Linked DNA regions of Stegostoma tigrinum. Each later gene encodes a partner of the first gene's protein in a complex. Links are inferred from orthologs where the notes say so. Each region holds a gene or a part of one and is shown in the gene's direction. Other genes may lie near its edges.

Region 1 (10,115 bases):
CTGAGGAATGGGAGGGGAAGTTGAAATAGTTCGTGACTGGGAGGTGCAGTTGTTTAGTGTGAACCGAGCGTAGGTGTTCTGCAAAGTGGTCGCCAAGCCACCGCTTGGTTTCCCCGATGTACAGGAGGCCACAATGGGTACAGCGGATGCAGTATACCACATTAGCAGATGTGCAGGTGAACATCTGCTTGATGTGGAAAGTCTTCTTAGGGCCTGGGATGGGGGTGAGGGAGGAGGTGTGGGCGCAGGTGTCGCACTTGCTCCGGTTACAGGGAAAAGTGCCGGGGGTGGTGGGGCTGGAGGGGAGTGTCGAGCTGACAAGGGAGTCATGGAGAGAGTGGTCCCTCCAGAAAGCAGATAAGGGTGGGGAGGGAAAAATGTCTTTAGTGGTGGGGTCAGATTGCAGGTGGCGGAAGTCTCGGAGGATGATGTGTTGCATCTGGAGGTTGATGAGGTGTTACATGAGGACGAGGGGGGTTCTGTTTTGGTTGTTATTTTGGGGAGTGTGTGTTAGGGATGAGTTGCGGGAAATGCAGGAGACACAGTCGAGCGCGTTCTCGACCACTGAGTGGGGGTAAGTTGCGGTACTTGAAAAAGGAGGACATCTGAGATGTACAGGAGTGGAATGTCTCATCTTGGGAGCAGGTGCGGCAGAGGCAAAGGAATTGGGAATAGGGGATGGCCTTTTTGCAGGAAGGTGGATAAGAGGAAGTGAATTCTAGGTAGCTGTGGGAGTTGCTGGGTTTGAAATGGATATCGGTTTCCAGGTGGTTGTCAGAGATGGAAACAGAGAGGTCCAGGAAGGACAGAGAGGCATCAGAGATGGTCCAGGTGAACTTAAGGTTGTGGTGGAAGGTTTTGGTGAAGTAGATGAACTGTTTGAATTCCTCATGGGAGCACAAGGCGGCGCTGATACAGTCATCAATGTAGCGGAGGAAGAATTGGGGTTTAGGGCCAGTGTAGCTACAGAAGAGGGACTATTCTACGTAACCTACAAAGAGGCAGGCATAGCTTGGGCCCATGCGGGTACCCATGGCCACTCCCTTTGTCTGTAGGATGTGGGAGAAATTGAAAGACTCTTTGTAGGAGCCAAACGTCAGCCTTTCTGCTCCTCTGATGCTGCTTGTATTCATCCAGCGCTACACACCTTGTTATCTCAGATTTTCCAGCATCTGCAGTTCCTACCCTGAAAGCTTTGTTGTCTTGTCCAGTCACTCTCAGGAGATTTCAGAAGTGATACCTTTCTATCTGTCACACTTACAGGTTGAGGACCAAATACACACACTTGCCAATTTGGCGCAAAGAGAAATATTAGACCATCTTTGCATCATGCCTGCCCCACAGATTTCAATAATTGTCCAAATCTGACTGAATATTTCCAGCTTCCTGGCCCTCCATTCAAGCCCTTGCAACCATGTAACATCTTGGGGATAGGTTAGGGGAGAAATTGTGGCTGCCAGTAAAAATCTGTAGATAATTTTCACATATCACAGAACATAAATCTAATGTTGCGTGTAGACAATCCTCACTATCCTTTTTATTTATTTAGGGGAAAGAAAATATTATAGTTTTTATAATAGGCACTTGGACCTCAAAGTCAGTTTTTACCTCAATTCCTTAAATACTGCAGAAGAATATTGTTGTTCATTTTTCTCTGATTCATACTGGCCCCGAGATATACTCATTTGACCAAATATTAATGTTTGTACATTATTCCCCATGCAAAACAGTAGGTGAAGGGCAAAAAATGCTGGCCTAGCCAGCGATTCCAAATGAATAGACGAAAATAAAAGGTGATCTCATTGGAAAATGTAAGATTTTGAGGGGGATCAACAAGGTAAATGTTAAGAAGATATTTTCTGTCATGGAGATATCTCGAATTAGGGGGCATGGTTTAAAAACAATTGCTCTCCTATTTGAGAAAGCAATGAGGCAAAATGGGTTATTGAATGTCTTCAAGGCTGAGCTAGACAAGGAATTTATAAGGAATTTAGTTTACAGGGAAACTATGGTCAATGGGGTACAGACTAGCTTTAGATCAGTCATGATCTTATTAAATGGTACAAAAGACTTGATGGTGGAAATGGCCTATCCCTCTCCCCATTTCTTACAATTTTACATTTAAATTGTAGCCACTATTGGCGATGTTGGAAACAAGGCAGCTAGATAATACCATACACAAGATAGAATCTTCAAACAACAAAGCAATGATGAGCAGATAACTTGTTTTAGAGATGTTAATTGATCAATAAATATTGGTCAGGAGACTAAAGAGAATTCCCCTGGTTTTGTGTATTGCTGAAAACAAATCCTGGATGCACTGACAATCAATTTAGGATTGTTGGTCAGGTTCACAATGCGGTGCATTTGTGTGTACTGAAAATCATATATGTTAATGCAAAGACCCTGTTCTTTGGAGACAGAAATAACATACACGCACTGCATCGGTTTCAAATCAATGCACGTGTGACAGCCAATGTTTGGATCAGTTCTCAGAGCACTGTTTTGAATAATTAGAGTCAACCAGCCTGGCATCTGGCAGTTAACTGTCGGTCATCATCTAATGGGTGCATTCTTCATAGCCTCTACAAATCACAATCCCTGGCACACTAAACGGGTCTTTAACTTTACATCTTGCAAATTGTCCTGATGAGTTCAAGAGAACAAGCTTCAACAAAATATTTTTGTGAAGCAATTTTGAAGTTCTGTATTTCTAAATGACTATCTCCTAACCTTTTTCAAAATAGTCTCATGATCTATTTTACATCTATTCCAGATAACAGATTAGATTTATTGTCTCACCCAAAAGACAAAATTCCGTACATTCTTTCAGGATTACACCAGAGTACACCCACTTTTACCAGTCAGCTACTGTACTTTACTGAACTTTGTAACTAGTCCTTTCAGGTCCTCTGCATTCTGTTTTCTAACCCATTGTCAATCTCTTTCTACTGTGCACCTGAGTGCAGTTAGAACCTGAGTTCATACCAGATGCTGAAGGACAGAGATTTGTTTTGCCTGATCTCCCCCACCCTTACCTTTCCCCGGAATTCTCTGGATTTCAGAAGGTCGTGGGTAGAGTAGGGGTGGGAGAAGATGGCTCAGTGTAAACATGAGTACATATTCCAAGCTGCTGTTCTGGCGTTACAAGAGTTCTCCTCCTCCAACTGGGAAAATCTGGATTCAGAGATGACAAGATGTTGAGCTAGATGAACACAGTAGGCCAAGCAGCATCAGAGGAGCAGACATTTCAGGTCTAGATCCTTCTTCAGAAATGGGAGAGGGGAAAGGGGTGCTGAAATAAATAGGGGGAGAAGGGGAGGCGGATAGAAGACGGATAGAGGAGAAGATAGGAGGAGAGGAGACAGACAGACAGGTCAAAGAGGTGGGGATGGAGCCAGTAAAGGTGAGTGTAGGTAGGGACATAGGAAGGAGATAGGTCAGTCCAGGGAGGACGGACAGGTCAAGGCGGCAGGATGTGGTTAGTAGGTAGGAGATGGGGGTGGAGCTTGAGGTGGGAGGAGGGGGGAGGTGGGAGGAAGGACAGGTTAGGGAGGTGAGGACGATCTGGGCTGGTTTTGGGATACGGTAGGGGGAGGGGAGATTTTGAAGCTTGTGAACTCCCCATTGATACCATTGGGCTGCAGGGTTCCAAAGCGGATTATGAGTTGCTGTTCCTGCAACCTTCAGGTAGCATCATCTGTGGAAGGGAAGGGGGAGTTGAAATGGTGCACGACTGGGAGGTGCAGTTGTTTAGTATGAACCAAGCGTAGATGTTCTGCGAAGCTATCCCCAAGCCTCTGCTTGGTTTCCCCGATGTAGAGGAAGCCACAACGGGAACAGTAGATGCAGTATACCACATTAGCAGGTGTGTAGGTGAACCTCTGCTTGATGTGGGAAGTCTTCTTAGGGCCTGGGATAGTGGTGAGGGGGCATGGGTAGCACTTCCTGCGGTTGCAGGGAAAAGTGTCGGGTGAGGTGGGGCTGGAGGGGAGGGGAGTGTGGAGCGGACAAGGGAGTCACAGAGAAAGTGGTCCCTCTGGAAAGCAGATAAGGGTTGGGGGTCAGAAATGTCTTTGGTGGTGGGTTTGGATTGCAGACGGCAGAAGTGTTGGAGGATGATTCGTTGGATCCGGAGGTTGGTGAGGTGGTATATGAAGATGAGGGGGATTCTGTTTTGGTTTTTATTGCGGGGAAGGGGTATGAGGGATGAATTGCAGGCAATGCGGGAGACATGGTCGAGGGCGTTCTCGACCACTGAGGAGGGGAAGTTGCGGTCCTTGAGAAACGAGGACATCTGAGATGTATGGGAGTGGAATGCTTAATCCTCGGAGCAGATGCGGCTGAGGCAAAGATATTGGGAATAAGGGATAACTTTTTTGCAGGAAAGTAGGTGGGAGGAGGTGTATTCTGGGTAGCTGTAGGAGTCAGTGGGCTTGAAACAGATATCGGTTTCTAGGTGGTTGCCAGAGATGGAGAGAGGTGTCTAGGAAGGAGAGAAAGTTATTAGACATGGTCCAGGTGAATTTAAGGTTGGGGTGGAAGGTATTGGTGAAGTGAATGAACTGTTCGAACTCCACGTGGGAGCACGAGGTGGCGACTATACAGTCATGGATGTAATGGAGGAAGAGGTGAGGTTTAGGGCCAGTGTAGGTACGGAAGAGGGATTGTTCCACGTAACCTACAAAGAGGCAGGCATAGCTTGGGCCCATGCAGGAACCCCCTTTGTCTGTAGGAAGTGGGTGGAATTAAAAGAGAAGTTGTTGAGAGTTCGGCTAAGCAGATGAGGGTGTCAGTGGAGGTGGACTGGTCAGACCTGTGGGACAGGAAGAAGCAGAGAGCCAACGGGGAGAAAATGGAGTCCAGGTAAGTGGAGGTAAGTTCGGTGGGGCAGGATCAGGCAGAGACAATGGGTCAACCAGGGCAGTTAGGTTTGTGGATTTTGGGACGGAGATGGAAGCTGGTCGTGTGTGGTTGGGGAACGATGGGTTTGGAGGCTGTGGGGGTGTGAGGTCACCTGAAGTGATGAGGTTGTGGATGGTTTGGGAGATGATAGTTTAGGGCCCAGGGGTGGGGTCATGATCAAGGGGGCTGGATACAAGTCCCACCGGCCCGAGATGTGTCATAACATAATCTCAACAGGTTAAACAACTACGTTTGAAATGAGTGGTCGCGGCCAAAGCTTTTACTTTGTTTTCCCCTCTTTAAAATCTTGTGGACGTTCACATCCAATGTCCGTTCCTGTGTCCATTGAAAACCTGTATCAAGTCATTTCTATTACCTCTCCTCATTCTGCCGGCCATTTCAATCACATCACATTTGTCTGCGCGTCTATTCAGTCGGCTTTGTATGGCCTCCTCAGCTTTAGTTCTCATTAACGCTACGGAAATAGACAGGAGAAACTTCTAGGTCGCAGTTCTCAGCTGCAAGGTGACACGCCCCAGCACTTTCTGCTCAGTGTGTTGCACAATTACAAAGTTAGAAGTCTGGCATCATTGCTGAAAGGAATTATCTCTACATATGGTGCCGGGATACTGCTGACCACTTAACATAATTGACATTCGGTTAAGCTTGTAAAAATCGCGAGGAGCAGATGCGAGTGGAGAGTGAACTGTTGCAGAGAGCTTGGCATGATCTGTACTTCACTCATCTGAATCTCTTCGAGGCTCGGCTGGGCTGAGAACACTGAAAACACAACCTCATCACCTCGTTTCCCGCAGACAGGTCTTACTCAAACCCAGCGGCCTGTCACTTCCCCGGCACTCTCGCTGACCTCTGAAAGGAGGCGTGTCAGCTTGCTGTTAGAGACACATTCCCTTACATGTTGCACACAGCAACCCGTCAACAAGGTTATAGAAGGAAGACTTGTAGCTGAGAATTATTATCAAACATCTCCGCCGACACCAAAAGCAGGTAAGGGTCGAATTAAGTCAATAAACTGAACAAGTATAAGAAAGGGCATTTTATATAGTGTCAATACAGAATATCAGAAATGTTATCATTACCTATGTTATAACCAAACGTGTGTATCTATTTGCTTCACCGATTATTTTATTTGAACGATTACTTTATTTCACTGTTGGGAGACATCTGCTACATTAAATAATTGTAAATCTTTCAAGTCCAGTTATGGTTGGAGTAACGGTCCGGTCATACAGGTAAAGCTAGCACTTGTTGGCTGGTGGCTCATGATCTAATTCTTCAATCACTCCTGCCCGCTACCCTGTTCGCCAAAGATAAACCTGAACTTTCTATAGCTCTCACTGACCAGCCGATTGTACAAATGAAACGGGGAGAGATTTCTGCAGTTGGCGATTTCCTAGGTCGTCTGTCGAATGCTCAAAAACAAAACCAGCGTCACAGTCCATCGGCAGCCAGCAAAATTAATGTTTTTGCGTGCATTGAAGAAAAGAATGGCGGCCTCTTTGCACCAGATTTGCGCCACGATTGAAGCAGCATTTGGGAAAGCAAAAGAATATGAAGAACTTGGTATTGTACCAGAGCTAATCTGGCAGAAAAGGTAAGTTTGTTAGCTTCCTGCAGGTAGTTGACAGCAGTTTCCCATCAGAATTACTCGGAGCGAAAAGGTAGCAAAAGACATCAGGGAAGTAACTGACGGTCTATGAGATCAAGAAACAGCTCCACCTGAACAAAATATTCTCTAAAAGATATTTACATTTTATAGAGGGTCGCTTTAACGGTTGCAATTTTGCCGACCTGCAGAGTATCACTCAAAAGACGTGTCAGGGTAATTGTGTTTAAATGAAGGAATACCCTGATTTCTCCTCACCCATGCTTCTTGTTTGTGGGCTATGTTTGAATGGGCATGATCAGCCTCATTAGGTCAGTGAGCTGACCCTCCGGGATAGTCAATATCCAGCGGATATTCAACCCGGGAGAACCCTCAGATGAAACCCAATGCTGGAAAGCAGGTTAAACTACTTCATAGCGAGCGCAGTATTAATCAAATATGTATTGTTTATTGGTGTTCAATGTATTGTCGGCTTTGTTTTATATCAATGAAGTATAGCTGTGAACCATTTAAATTTGAGCACAACCGATAATTATTTTTTGATTGATTATGTAAAACTGCTAGTTACATCAATCTTGTCAGCAATGGAACACCGCAATCGGCCTGAGGGTCTAATGGACAGTAATAAAGTTTGATCAGCAGATTCACCATCGCTTCTAATTTCTGGTGGGCAACGGTTCAATTGAAACGGTGGAACAGCGGGAAAGGTTGCGGAAGTTGCAGTGTAACAGTTGCCCTCTGTAAAGGAAGACAAAATTCGGAAATGTAAACAAAAACCCCAGAGAGTTCTGAAAATTTGTTTTTTTAAAAAAACTCCGCAGATCTGGCCGTAGTTGTGGAGAGGGACGTTCTGGCTCCTCTTCAATCAAGAGCTTCAGGTCTGCAGGAGGAGCTGTTTTAATGAGAGTCTCTGATGACGTTCTCTGTATTTACTGGATTTGGAAAGGGTTCCTGTTTCTCCTTTGGTGGGAGAAACCGATTTTTAATCAGTGAAGGAATTAAGAATTATGTAGAGAAAACGGAAAAGTAAGGTTGAAGATTATCAGATGATCACGTGAGCTCATGAAATGGCGGTGCGGATTCGATGGGCTGAATGGGCTAGTTCTGCTCCTATGTCGAAAGCAGTTATTCATTTCACCTTGTTAAAAACAACTCTTGTAGCACTGCGATGGTGTCCCTTTCTTTGAGCCGGGAGAACAGGGTCCAATCCTACATATGTAGTAAGTGTGTAATAATATCTCTGAACAGGTTGATTTATAAAATATTTACCCTGGTTAAAGATTTGAAAACAAAACCACTTTCTAAAACCTAAATTGGTTTTAATGCTATTAAAACCAATCATTGTATTCCAGTTCCAACCTCCACAACGGAAGGTAAACAGAAATATTGTTTTAAATGAAAAACAAAAGAACTGCAGATGCTATAAATCAGAAACAAAAACAGAAATTGCTGTACCTGAAATGTTAACCCTGATTTCTCTCTATGGATGCTGCCAGGCCTGTTGAGCTTTGCCAGAAACATTGTTTTGTGTGTTTGTCTGTAATAACTAATGGATTGATTTCAGTAAAACTTGGTGCACAGAAAGGTTATGGCACAAGGAATAACCGATTGCAGCAAAAATGAAAGTGCTGGAGTAACTCAGCAGGTCTGGTAGCATCTGTGGGGAGAAAACAGGGCTAATGTTTCGGGTCCAGTGACTCTTCATCAGAACTGATTAGTTTTTCATGAAGATATAGATCCCAATTTGGATCCTTATCCTGGAATTTTGCAAAGAATCCCATAACACATGGAGATGGGGTAAACTGACTTTTTTATAGTGTTGTGGTTTGTGTTATTTAGAATGTTGTGGATTGTTTTGGAATAATGTGTCTTACCTATTGTGACAGTATTAGTTTTCAAATAATAGAATTGCTACAGTGTGGAAGCAGGCTGTTCGGCCCATGAAATCCACACCGACCCTCCAAGGAGCAACCCGTTCATGCCAACCAGCGCCCCCCCCAACCTCTTCCTATCCCTGCAATTCCCCTTGGCTAATCCACCTAGCTTGCATACCCCAGGATACTATGGACAATTTAGCATTGCCAATCCACCTAATCTGCACATCTTTGGACTGTGGGAGGAAACTGGAGCATCTGGAGGAAACCCACTGTGAGCAGAGTTTCAAGCAAGTAGTGAAAACCTTAGGGAGGAACTGTGTAATTACAATTGCCTGGCACTAAAACAGCATGTTAGAAGCATGTAATCTGCAGAGTGTTATCTTCACTTATTTTTTCACAATGAATGATGACTTGATGGTTTTATTATTAAATGACATGTTTCCAATATGTGTAAGTGATCTTCCATACAACACCTACAGAATTTCCCAGATATACAGTGGCCAATGATACTAACTGAATTGGGGGGAAAAAAGTCATTTAAAATAAAAAGATAAATGGAGAACCTGCATTTTTAAATTGCTGACATTACAGAAGATTAGCAGATAAGTGACACCCCAAGGGACCCAAGGAAATTTATTAATTTGGATCCTGGTTGCATGGTAAGAAGTAAAGGTTATTGATTGAGGAGTGCTTTTGTGACTGGAAGTCTATGTCTAGTGGGTTTCCTCAGGGATCATTATTGGGGTTTTTGCTGTTTCTGATGTATGTAAATGATTTAGACTTGAATGTATATGGGCTGACCAGTAAGTTCACAAATGATGTGAAAATGGATGGGTGGTAAACAGTGAAGAAAGTAGTATTCATAGTCCCTACAGTAGTGGGACTGGTAGATAAAGTGGTTGAGAAGCAATATGGGATGTTTGCCTTTATTAGCTGAGACATTGAGTTTAAAAGCAGGGAGGCGAAGTAGAAATTGTATGTAATATTGGCTACAGCTAGAGTATTATATGCAGTTATGAAGTCCACATTATAGGAGGGATGTGATTTCACTGGACAGGGCGTAGAGGAAATTTACCAGAATGTTGCCTGGGTTGGAGAGTTTCAGTTGTGAAGACAGATTGGAAAGGCTGGGGTTCTTTTCCTTGGTGCAGAGGAAACCAATACTTAAAATGAACAATTGATCCAACATCAACTGTCATTTGTGGAAGAGATTTCAAACCTTTGCCATCTTTTGTGTGTAGAAGTCTTTCCCAACATCTGTCCTGCTTGGTTTGGTCCTTATTCTCAGACCATGGCCCTTAGTTCTAGAATCTCCAACCAGGGGATATAGTTTATCTTTATCTACTGTCTTTTCCTGTTGATATCTTGCAAATTTTGATCGAATCACCCCGTGACCTTTCAAATTCTAGTGAAAACAGACCTAATTTGTAAAATCCCTTCATAACTTAATCCCCAAAGACCAACCACCATTCTTGTAAGGCCATATCGTAATTTCTCCAAGGTAAATATTTCATGTGGTGCACAGATCTCCTCCAAGTGGGGCTTAGCCAGGGCTTTGTATAGGTCCAGCATAACTTCCACGCCTTTATAATGCAGCCCTCTAGATATAAAAGTCAGCATTCCATGAATCTTCTTAAAGGTGAAACTGTTGGCCATTTAAGTTCTTCGTCTCACCTCCATCACTATTTCACCTTTTTTGGGGGAGG
Region 2 (10,796 bases), on another chromosome or scaffold:
ATCTATAATTAGAAAGCTGTTAAAGTCAAATATAAGAAAACAAGGTGTAGAACTGGATGAACACAGCAGGCCAGGCAGCATCGGAGAAGTAGGAAAGCTGACACTTTGGGTGGGTCCAGAACTAAAACGTCAGCTTTCCTGCTCCTCTGATGCTGCTTGGCCTGCTGTGTTCATCTAGCTCTACACCTTGTTATCTCAGATTCTCCAGCATCTGCAGTTCCTACTATCTCAAAGTCACATATAAGTGAAGTAATAGTGGAACAGGTCAGCACGGCGGCTCAGTGGTTAGCACTGATGCCTCACAGCAGCAGGGACTTGGGTTCAATTCCACCCTCAGGTGTCTGTTTGTGTTGAGTTTGCACACTCTCCCCCTGTCTGCGTGGGTTTATTCCCGGTGCTCTGCTTTCCTCCCACAGTCCAAAGATGTGCAGGGTAGATGGATTGGCCATGCTAAATTGCCCATTGTGCCCAGGGTTGCTTAGGTTGGGTGGATTAGACATGGAAAATTCTAGGGTAGGGGAATGGGTCTGGGTGGGATGCCCTTCGGAGGGGCCATGTGCACTTGTTGGGCCGAATGGCCTGTTTCCACACTGTAGGGGTTTGATGATAATTCAGAAGAATTACATAATATGCTCAAGCAGATTCAAAATGGCTATATGAAGAGAAAATCATGCCTGACAAATTTATTTCATTCCTTTGAGGAGCTAACAAGCAAGATAGATAAAAGGGGAAGCTGTAGATGTACAGGGGTTTCTGCTATAATGCGATAGATGCAGTCCTGTGAAATAACACATTATGGAAAATTGCCCTAAAGAAATAACTGAGCCAATGGGAAAAGGAAGGTTAGAGGCAGACCAACAAAAAAATTACTCAAAAACCACCCAAAAGCATAACACAAAGGATAGCGTACAAGTAGTCCTGTTTGGTGGCTTCACCAGGTTGATACCTCATCTTCAGGCATGCCTGGTGCTGCTCCTGGCATGCTCTCCTGCATTCTCCAATAAACCCCTGACTTGATGGTAAGGGTTGAGTGGGGGATATGCTGGCCATGAGGTTACAGATTGTGTCGGAGTACAATTCTGCTGATGTTGATGGCCCACAGCACCTCACGATGGCCAGCTGAGTTGCTAGAAAGGTTCAAAGTCTGTCTCATGTTGCACTGTGATAATGCCACACAACATGATGGAGGGTATTTTCAAAGTGAAGGCAGGACTTTATCTCCGCAAGGACTATGCGGTGGTCGCTCTTACCAATACTCTCACGGACAGATGCATCTGCAGCTGGCAGATTGGTAAGAATGAGATCAGGTATATTTTTCCCTCTTGTTGGTTCCCTCTTCACCTGCCGCAGACCCAGTCTCGCAGCTATGTCCTTCAGGACCTGACCAGCTCGATCAGTAAGGCTGCTGCTGAGCCTCTTTTAGTAGTGGACGGTGAAATCCCCACCCAGATTACATTTAGCAATTTTTAATCCTTAGTACTTGCTCCAAGTGTTGTTCAACATGGAGGAGTACTGATTGATCAGCCAAGGGAGGATGGTACATGGTAATCAGAAGGAAGTTTCCTTGCCCATGTATAATCTAAAGCCATGAGGCTTGCTCGAGGTCAGAGTCAGAGTCAATGTTGAGGACTCCAGGGATCGGTTAAAGTGTGTTTGCTTTAATGCAAGGAGTATCAGGAATAAAAGTGATGAACTTAGAGCATGGATCAGTACCTGGTGCTATGATGTTGTGGCCATAACAGAGACATGGGTTTCTCATGGGCAGGAATGGTTGCTGGATGTTCCCGGGTTTAGAACATTTAAAAAGAATAGGGAGGGGGGAGAAAGAGGAGGGGGTGTAGCACTACTAATCAGAGAGGGTATCACAGCTACAGAAGCTTCCATTGTCGAGGAAGATCTGCCTACCGAGTCAGTATGGGTGGAAATTAGGAACAGCAAGGGAGTAGTCACCTCGTTAGGGGTTTACTACAGGCCCCCCAATAGCAGCAGGGAGATTGAAGAAAGCATAGGTCGACAGATTTTGGAAAAGTGTGGACGCAGTAGGGTTGTTGTAAATGGGTGACTTTAACTTTCCTAATATTGATTGGAACCTCCTTCGAGCAGAAGATTTGAATGGAGCTGTTTTTGTAAGGTGTGTTCAGGAGGGTTTCCTAACGCAGTACGTTGACAGGCCGACGAGGGGAGAGGCCATTCTAGACTTGGTGCTCGGAAACGAGCCGGGGCAGGTATCAGATCTTGTGGTGGGAGAGCATTTTGGTGATAGTGACCATAACTGCCTCACATTCTACATAGCTATGGAGAAGGAGAGGATTAGGCAGAATGGGAGGATATTTAATTGGGGAAGAGGAAACTATGATGCGATTAGACATGAGTTAGGAAGCATAGACTGGGAGCAGTTGTTCCATGGTAAGGGAACTATCGACATGTGGAGACGGTTTAAGGAACAGTTGTTGGGAGTGATGAGTAAATATGTCCCTCTGAGACAGGCAAGAAGGGGTAAGATTAGGGAACCTTGGATGACGAGAGCGGTGGAGCTTCTAGTGAAAAGGAAGAAGGTAGCTTACATAAGGTGGAGGAAGCTAGGGTCAAGTTCAGCTAGAGAGGATTACATGCAGGCAAGGAAGGAGCTCAAAAATGGTCTGAGGAGAGCCAGGAGGGGGCACGAGAAAGGCTTGGCAGAAGGAATCCGGGAAAACACAAAGGCATTTTACACTTACGTGAGGAATAAGAGAATGGTCAAAGAAAGAGTAGGGCCGATCAGGGATAGCATAGGGAACTTGTGTGTGGAGCCTGAGGAGGTAGGGGAAGCCCTAAATGAGTTTTTTGCTTCTGTCTTTACGAAAGAAACAAACTTTGTAGTGAATGAAACCTTTGAAGAGCAGGTGTGCATGCTGGAATGGATAGAGATAGACGAAGCTGATGTGCTGAAAATTTTGTCAAACATTAAGATTGACAAGTCGCCAGGCCCGGATCAGATTTGTCCTCGGCTGCTTTGGGAAGCGAGAAATGCAATTGCTTCGCCACTTGCGAAGATCTTTGCATCCTCGCTCTCCACTGGAGTCGTACCTGAGGACTGGAGAGAGGCAAATGTAATTCCTCTCTTCAAGAAAGGAAATAGGGAAATCCCCGGCAATTATAGACCGGTAAGTCTCACGTTTGTCGTCTGCAAGGTGTTAGAAAGGATTCTGAGGGATAAGATTTATGACCATCTGGAAGAGCATGGCTTGATCAAATACAGTCAACACGGCTTTGTGAGGGGTAGGTCATGCCTTACAAACCTTATTGAGTTTTTGGAGGATGTGACTAGAAAAGTTGATGAGGGTCGAGCTGTGGATGTGGTGTATATGGCCTTCAGTAAGGCATTTGATAAGGTTCCCCATGGTAGGCTCATTCAGAAGGTCAGGAGGAATGGGATACAGGGGAACTTAGCTGCTTGGATACAGAATTGGCTGGCCAACAGAAGACAGCGAGTGGTAGTAGAAGGAAAATATTCTGCCTGGAAGTCAGTGGTGAGTGGAGTTCCACAGGGCTCTGTCCTTGGGCCTCTACTGTTTGTAATTTTTATTAATGACTTGGACGAGGGGATTGAAGGATGGGTCAGCAAGTTTGCAGACGACACAAAGGTCGGAGGTGTCGTTGACAGTGTAGAGGGCTGTTGTAGGCTGCAGCGGGACATTGACAGGATGCAGAGATGGGCTGAGAGGTGGCAGATGGAGTTCAACCTGGATAAATGCGAGGTGATGCATTTTGGAAGGTCGAATTTGAAAGCTGAGTACAGGATTAAGGATAGGATTCTTGGCAGTGTGGAGGAACAGAGGGATCTTGGTGTGCAGATACATAGATCCCTTAAAATGGCCACCCAAGTGGACAGGGTTGTTAAGAAAGCATATGGTGTTTTGGCTTTCATTAACAGGGGGATTGAGTTTAAGAGTCGTGAGATCTTGTTGCAGCTCTATAAAACTTTGGTTAGACCGCACTTGGAATACTGCGTCCAGTTCTGGGCGCCCTATTATAGGAAAGATGTGGATGCTTTGGAGAGGGTTCAGAGGAGGTTTACCAGGATGCTGCCTGGACTGGAGGGCTTATCTTATGAAGAGAGGTTGACTGAGCTTGGTCTCTTTTCATTGGAGAAAAGGAGGAGGAGAGGGGACCTAATTGAGGTATACAAGATAATGAGAGGCATAGATAGAGTTGATAGCCAGAGACTATTTCCCAGGGCAGAAATGGCTAGCACGAGGGGTCATAGTTTTAAGCTGTTTGGAGGAAAGTATAGAGGGGATGTCAGAGGCAGGTTCTTTACGCAGAGAGTTGTGGGAGCATGGAATGCGTTGCCAGCAGCAGTTGTGGAAGCAAGGTCATTGGGGTCATTTAAGAGACTGCTGGACATGTATATGGTCACAGAAATTTGAGGGTGCATACATGAGGATCAATGGTCGGCACAACATTGTGGGCTGAAGGGCCTGTTCTGTGCTGTACTGTTCTATGTTCTATGTTCTATGTTCTAATTCCACCTCAACTGTATGCCATTTTGCTGCACCTCCATTGGTTCTGTACTGCTGGCGTCCTACCTCTGTTACTACCTGTCTGGTTTGCATTCAAGGATCTGTAGACGTACATAATACAGTTCTTATCATTTGTACATCCTAGGATGCTATCATTCATACGTACTGGTTTTCCTTGTCAGTCCTCCCATCACCTCACACAACTGTCTTATAAAATGGTCCATTACAAAAGTTATTGCTCTGGCCTGAAATAAGAGATTCAGATTCAGATTCAGGTTCCTTTATATATAGAAACTATACAAATAAATAAATCTGAAATTAATTGCCGCGTCTAAATAACCATCTTGTAAAGACAAAATAGTCATGACACAAGCCAGTTTCTAATCTAAAAACCAAAAGAACTGTGGATGCTGTAAATCAGGAACAAAAAACAGAAGTTTCTGGAAAAGCTCAGCAGGTCTGGCAGCATCTGTGAAGGAGAAAACAGAGCTAACGTTTTGGGTCCAGTGTCTGATGCTGAGGGAAAGTCACTGGATCTGAAACGTTAGCTCAGTTTTCTCTTTCACAGATGCTGCCAGACCTGATGAGCTTTTCCAGCAACTTCTGTTTTTGTTCCAGTTCCTAATCTGAATTGTTACAGTAAAGGAACTGATTACCAATGTTCAGTGTTTGAGGTTATTACCAATATTGGACCAGAGCAGAACTTAGATGATTGATTTTTTAAACCAGTTTTTGAAATTTTATTAACTTCTTTATTCTTACCTTTAGAAGTTTTATAGATTAAAAAGTACTTCTCCAAAACACTCAAAAACAAATCTTCCAGGATTAGCAAGATTTCATTATGAAACTCACCTTCTTTGTCCAATTCATAACATCTGTGATATTCACTTCTCATTCATGATAAAAGAGAACAGAACGTATTTTCTTCAAGGATCTTTTAAAGCTGGTATTGTAAATTAGATATGCTAATGTGTCATTCTTTAGACAAAAGCATAACCTTCCTTTTTGGCCTTACAGATCCCAATCTTTTCATGAAGCGAATAAATCATTTAGACTGCCGCTGATTTAGATAACAGATGTCTGTAATTGAAACAAACTCATTAGGGATTTAGATTGAAGAAAATGATCAGTTCACCTCTTGTGGTGATGAATCAGCTTCCATACTTCTAGATGTAACACATCTGATCCGCTAGATGGGTTTCTGCAGGAGGTCTATTAATGATGGTAAAAGGATAAAAAGGGAGATTGGGCTTCTCTGAAATGCCTCAGGTTCCATACGCACACTGCCTTTCGCTTGAGGCAGAACCAGTGCAAGAATGAATGCTACCGTTTACATAGCTCTTTTTATTTCTGTGTTGTTTAATGTAGAACCTTCCATTTCATCTGTTGTGGGGCAGTTGGAAGACGACAAGGTGCCACAGAAAGACTTTAACCAAGAAATGTTGGCAAACAATGATCTACTAGAGCAACTGAGGTCTTCACGCCTGATCAAAATCTACCAGCTCCAGCAGCCAGACAAAGTAACCTCAGAGGTATGACTTATCACAGTAAATGCTCGCTTTAAATGTGTAACTTATTCTTTCATTATCAGAAGGAAAATGTATTCAATTAACTCTAAAATGTTTATATGTAAGTTGCTAAAATTTATTTGCTCCATCAGCATTAAGGGCCTTCAAGCAGACACCGAGAAGTTATTTGGAGAATGAGTAGCTCCCTCTCATTCTATAAGAGGGCTTAATGGGTTAGATAAGGGGAAAGGTTTCCACTGCCAGAGGGTTTTTTGATTCATTGTCGTATGTAACCAGTTCTCTTTTGCAAGTTCCTATTCAATCTGTTTCAACTACCCCTACAGGTAAAACATTCCAAGTCACAATTCGAAGCAGAATTTTTTTTCTCAACTCCTGCACTATACCTAATGGCAATTACCCTAAATCTGTGAACCCCTGGTTACGGATCTCCTGGAAACAATTTCTTATTATATATTGTATTAGCATCACAGTCCATTCGTTCACTAGCATAATTACTACTTCTTTCACTTTCTCTATTGCAAGGAAAAAAATCCCAGATTCTGCAGACTTGCCACATCCCTGAAATGCCTGCTATCTGCCTTTATAGTCCAGCCTCTAATAGTTTTCCCTTTGGTTTCAAATAGTCTTAAAAGTCAATGTCATTGATCGCGTAACTGTTCACTCAGTGTAATCTTCCGCTCGATGTTAAATTTTTGCCCTTATTATGATTCTTCGAAACAACCATGGGATGTTCTTAAAAACATCACTCTCGCCTTCTGTTTAGGACTTTGGTTTTAGGATGGACCCCAAAATTATTCGACCACCTTTTATGTCTGCTAGCCAGAGGTTATTCAAACGACCTCTCATCTCAAATGAGTCTATGAAAAAGCCACCGTACCACTCAGCTAAGAGGACAGATGCTTCTGAAAGCTCAAATCAACTGGAACAGCTTGAGATGTTAGAGGCACATCGAGCCACTAATGATGGAGAAAATGGGGCTGTGCTTCCTGTGGGCAGAAGAGATTTTGACAGTAAGTTTTTGGCATGCTGAAACAGCTGTTGAGTTGTGATATGTAGTTACTGAGTGGAAAAAAAAAGAGGCAAGTTCAGAGTGCTATTTATCGAGCAATCTGCATTGATTTTTAATTTTGATTCACATCAATTGGCTTCATTTTCTGAAACTTATGCGGTAGCCATCTGTGGCTGGTAGATAGATTATTTCACAGTTTTATCTCCTCTTGTGGTGACTGACTCCAGAATGTCACTTTTCCAGACAGCTCTAATTTGTCCAAAACTGTGAAGGGCCAGAACAGTTTACCCCATAGCAGTGTGTAGAGTAACTTACAAACACAAGCCACATCATTTTTATTATTGCCCTAGCACCCACCCAAGAAGCAGGGGGGAGGTCAAAACCTGGTGTTGAACTTGGGGATAGGAACAGGATTTTATTTGATTTGAATAATTACTGTCACATGTACCGAAGTGCAGTGAAAAGCATTGTCGTACATACTTTATGAGCAGATCGTACCAGACATGCACATCAGAATAACAGAACAGGGTGCAAGATTATAATCCTACAACTGCTGAGTAGGCCATTCAGCCCATCAACCCTGCCTTGTCATTCAACACAATAATGGCCAAACACTTCTTTTACACCCCTTGGGTACAGGACCTCAAACAAACGAGGCAGCAGTACTGAGGGAGTGCTGCACACTTGGAGGTGTCAGTTAGCAGATGAGAGATTAAATTCAAAGTCTGGCTGGTCTAGATATATTAAAGGGGGATTGGGACATGGCCCTTGTGGCTAAAGGTATCAGTATGTATGGACAGAAAACAGGAGTGGGATACTGAGATTACATGATCAGCTGTAAGCATAGTGGGTGGTGGTGCTCAAAGGGGCTGAATGGTCCAGTCTTTCACCTATTTTCTGTGTCTGTCCCAGGTCAAAACGAAACTGAGCGTTTATCTTCCTGGCAATTGTAAAATACAGATGTTGGGCTGGCTCCCACATATATCTGCGGAGCCAAGGGACCAAAATTCAAATTATATCTCCAAAATCAGAGCACACGAACAAGAGACCATTCAGCCCCTCAAGCCTGTCCTGTCATTCAATTTGATTACAAGTTGATCTGTATCTGGATGCCAACTACCCACTAAAATCTAGAAGGTTTTGTTTAGGAAACTTCATTTGATACTCCCAAACTCAACCACCCCTAACTAGGCTCAAGAGCTTTTTTTGGGAGGATTAAACAGAGTATTCCAGATTTCCACAACCCCTTATGGGGAAGGAGTGCTTCCTGACTGCAGCTCTAAATGAGCTGGCTTTCACTTTAGGATTAAGCCACCTTGCTTTGTTCTTTAATGTTTTCCAGGAAGGTGGTAAATTGATTCACCTGCCTACCCATAATCTAAGGTTAATGGGGGAAAAAGGGGTGTTAAGATGGGATTGAGAATCCAATACATGAACAGATCAGCCATGATCTTATTGAAGAGCAGAATGGCCTATTCCTGTTCCCAATTTAGATGTTGTACACTCTCCCAGACACCCCAAACAGAGAAAGAGTTTCTACTTATCAGTTCCTTCATCTTTTTAAAAGTAACCCACCAAATCACCCAAATAATCAACTTAACAGATAACCAGTTAACGAGCACTGTGCCAGGGGAAATGTAATAATAACAGACGTGAAAGGAAAAAAGAGACAGAGGGGATTAAATTAAAATGGTGTTAGAGGGGAACAAAATGCCAAACTCCAAGATGCCCATCACTATCTAATTGCCTCACAGGCACCAGATGCTCCTACCTGTGCCTGGGCACCCAGGCACAAACATATAAACTGAAGAGTCTTCAAATCCCTACAGTGTGGCAACAGGCCTTTTTTTCCCCCCCCTTATTCATTTACGGGATGAGGGCATCACCGACCAGGCAGCATTTATTGCCCATCCCTAGTTGCCCAGAATGCAGTTGAGTCAACCACATTGCTGTGGGTCTGGAGTCACGTGTAGGCTAGACCAGGTAAGGATGGCAGTTGCGTCCCCTAAAGGGCATGAGTGAATCAGATGGGTTTTTCTGACAATCAACATCAGTCATCAATAGATTCTTAATTCCAGATATTTATTGAATTCAAATCCCACCATGTGCCGTGGCAGGATTCAAACCCAGGTCTCCAGAATGTTGTCTAGGTCTCTGGATTAATAATACCACTAGGCCATTGCCTCCCCAACGAGTCCACACCAATCTATCCCTCTACCCTATCCCTGTAACCCTGCATTTTCCCATGGCTAATCCCACCTAGCCTGCACATCCCTGGACACTAGGAACAATTTCAGCATGGCCAATCCACCAAACCTGCACATCTTTGGATTGTGGGAGGAAACCAGTGTCCCTGGTAAAAAATTAATGCAGACATGGGGAGAACATGCAAACTCCACACAGACTATCACCTGAGGGTGGAATTGAACCCGGGTCCATGGCACTATGAGGCAGCAGTGCTAACCACTGAGCCACCGTGCCACACAAGAGGGACAGGCAGTGGGAAATCACTACCCCCTCCACAGCCCAATACCTAAATTTGTTGACCACTTTAACCAGGTCCAGGAGGAAGCTTAAAATCCATTGTCTCAACCACATTAGTTAGTTTATCCCTTCATTTAAATTCAAGGACATACAAATCCATTATTGTGGCGTTGTAACATTTTCCCTATAGACACAGTAATATTCAGAAACGTCTAACTGTATTGATGTTCAAGCCTTGGAGGTTTGCCAAGGTCGTCCCTCAGTGATTGACATCTTATCTGACTCAAATATTATCACACACCTCTGGAGGAGAGGCAACTTGAGCCTCGATCTCTTAGCTCAGCAATAAGGAAATTACCACAAGGGCTCTCTCCGACTCATTTATATTCATGCAGGTTACTTCAGATGATCAACATGCATATAAAATAAAATGAGTTAAAACCTTGCAGTTAGTTAATTTGTAAAAACTAAAAGAAAAAGAGGTAGTCCAAAAAAGGTACACAATAAGCTGCACCAGGGTCTCATTCTATTTTCCTTCCTAAATCTCACAGTTCTCCGCTGCATGCTTGGAAGAGTTTACCGACCCTGCTGGCAAAACTGACCAACTGTGCAAGAGCCTCAAGATCCTTGGTGAAACTTTAACATGTTGTTGTTATCTGACTCTTGTGACCGTGCATTCATAAGTGATTGAAACTGTGTACTTAGTCCTTTGTGTGATTTATTCTCCATGCTTTAGACAGTGAAAGCTTTAAGCTGAAATTGCTCATTACTGAACTAGTTAGTTAGTGTATTCAAAAAGAAATAAAAAGTTTTAGATTTTCTGCATTCATAATCATGAGAGTTGCCTGTGTATTATATTTTGAAAATAAATTCACACTAATTAAATGTGATCATGAATTTGACATTTGAAACACCTCATCTGATTTTGAAAGGAGAACAGAAATAAAATACTAAATCCTAAAGAAATTGGTGAGTTTTGATTGTCCAGGAATTAACTTATTTTTGGCCTTAGTTCGGATGGTCTTTGTGGTCTTCCCCATTTTTCCCTTCTGTGTGACAGGGGGACAACTACGTAATTCAGTTTCACAGCCTGTATCACCGTCCATTTCCACATATTTCCGCTTTGACACCTTCCGGCAGTCTTTTCGATTTCCCATTTCCTCTTTCCTGAAAATTGCTTCACATTCTTGTTCCCTTGAGGTTGCCGACTGCCCTGCGGATAGTGCCGACGTTTGACAGGATTCACCTTGAAGAGAACAAAGAAGAAGGGGG

Evidence for each region.
Region 2: the proteins of mchr2a (region 1) and pmch are in contact, whole or in part, in a cryo-EM structure (PDB 8WST), measured with the Homo sapiens proteins. The link is inferred for Stegostoma tigrinum from reciprocal best matches to the Homo sapiens genes MCHR2 and PMCH. Residues at the interface, in NP_001035269.1 of Homo sapiens: His82, Gln92, Trp93, Gly96, Gly97, Thr110, Asp113, Gln117, Ile175, Phe177, Val181, Ser183, Cys184, Ala185, Phe186, Leu188, Thr189, Ser190, Pro191, Val194, Tyr197, Thr198, Tyr267, Gln271, Asn274, Met277, Glu278, Gln279, Pro280, Phe284; in NP_002665.2 of Homo sapiens: Leu151, Arg152, Cys153, Met154, Leu155, Gly156, Arg157, Val158, Tyr159, Arg160, Pro161, Cys162, Trp163.

What each region holds. Positions count from the first base shown.
Region 1 is NC_081357.1:48,883,597-48,893,711, reverse strand, and holds the start of mchr2a (melanin-concentrating hormone receptor 2), read left to right. Parts: upstream 1-5,587; 5' UTR 5,588-5,913; intron 5,914-6,417; exon of another isoform or gene 6,418-6,520; intron 6,521-7,245; exon of another isoform or gene 7,246-7,752; intron 7,753-10,115. UniProt on the Homo sapiens protein: Receptor for melanin-concentrating hormone, coupled to G proteins that activate phosphoinositide hydrolysis.
Region 2 is NC_081371.1:60,123,573-60,134,368, reverse strand, and holds pmch (pro-MCH), read left to right. Parts: upstream 1-5,782; 5' UTR 5,783-5,818; coding exon 5,819-6,034; intron 6,035-6,794; coding exon 6,795-7,041; intron 7,042-10,075; coding exon 10,076-10,125; 3' UTR 10,126-10,464; downstream 10,465-10,796. Other genes in the region: parpbp (PCNA-interacting partner), read right to left, coding at 10,475-10,770. UniProt on the Homo sapiens protein: MCH may act as a neurotransmitter or neuromodulator in a broad array of neuronal functions directed toward the regulation of goal-directed behavior, such as food intake, and general arousal. May also have a role in spermatocyte differentiation.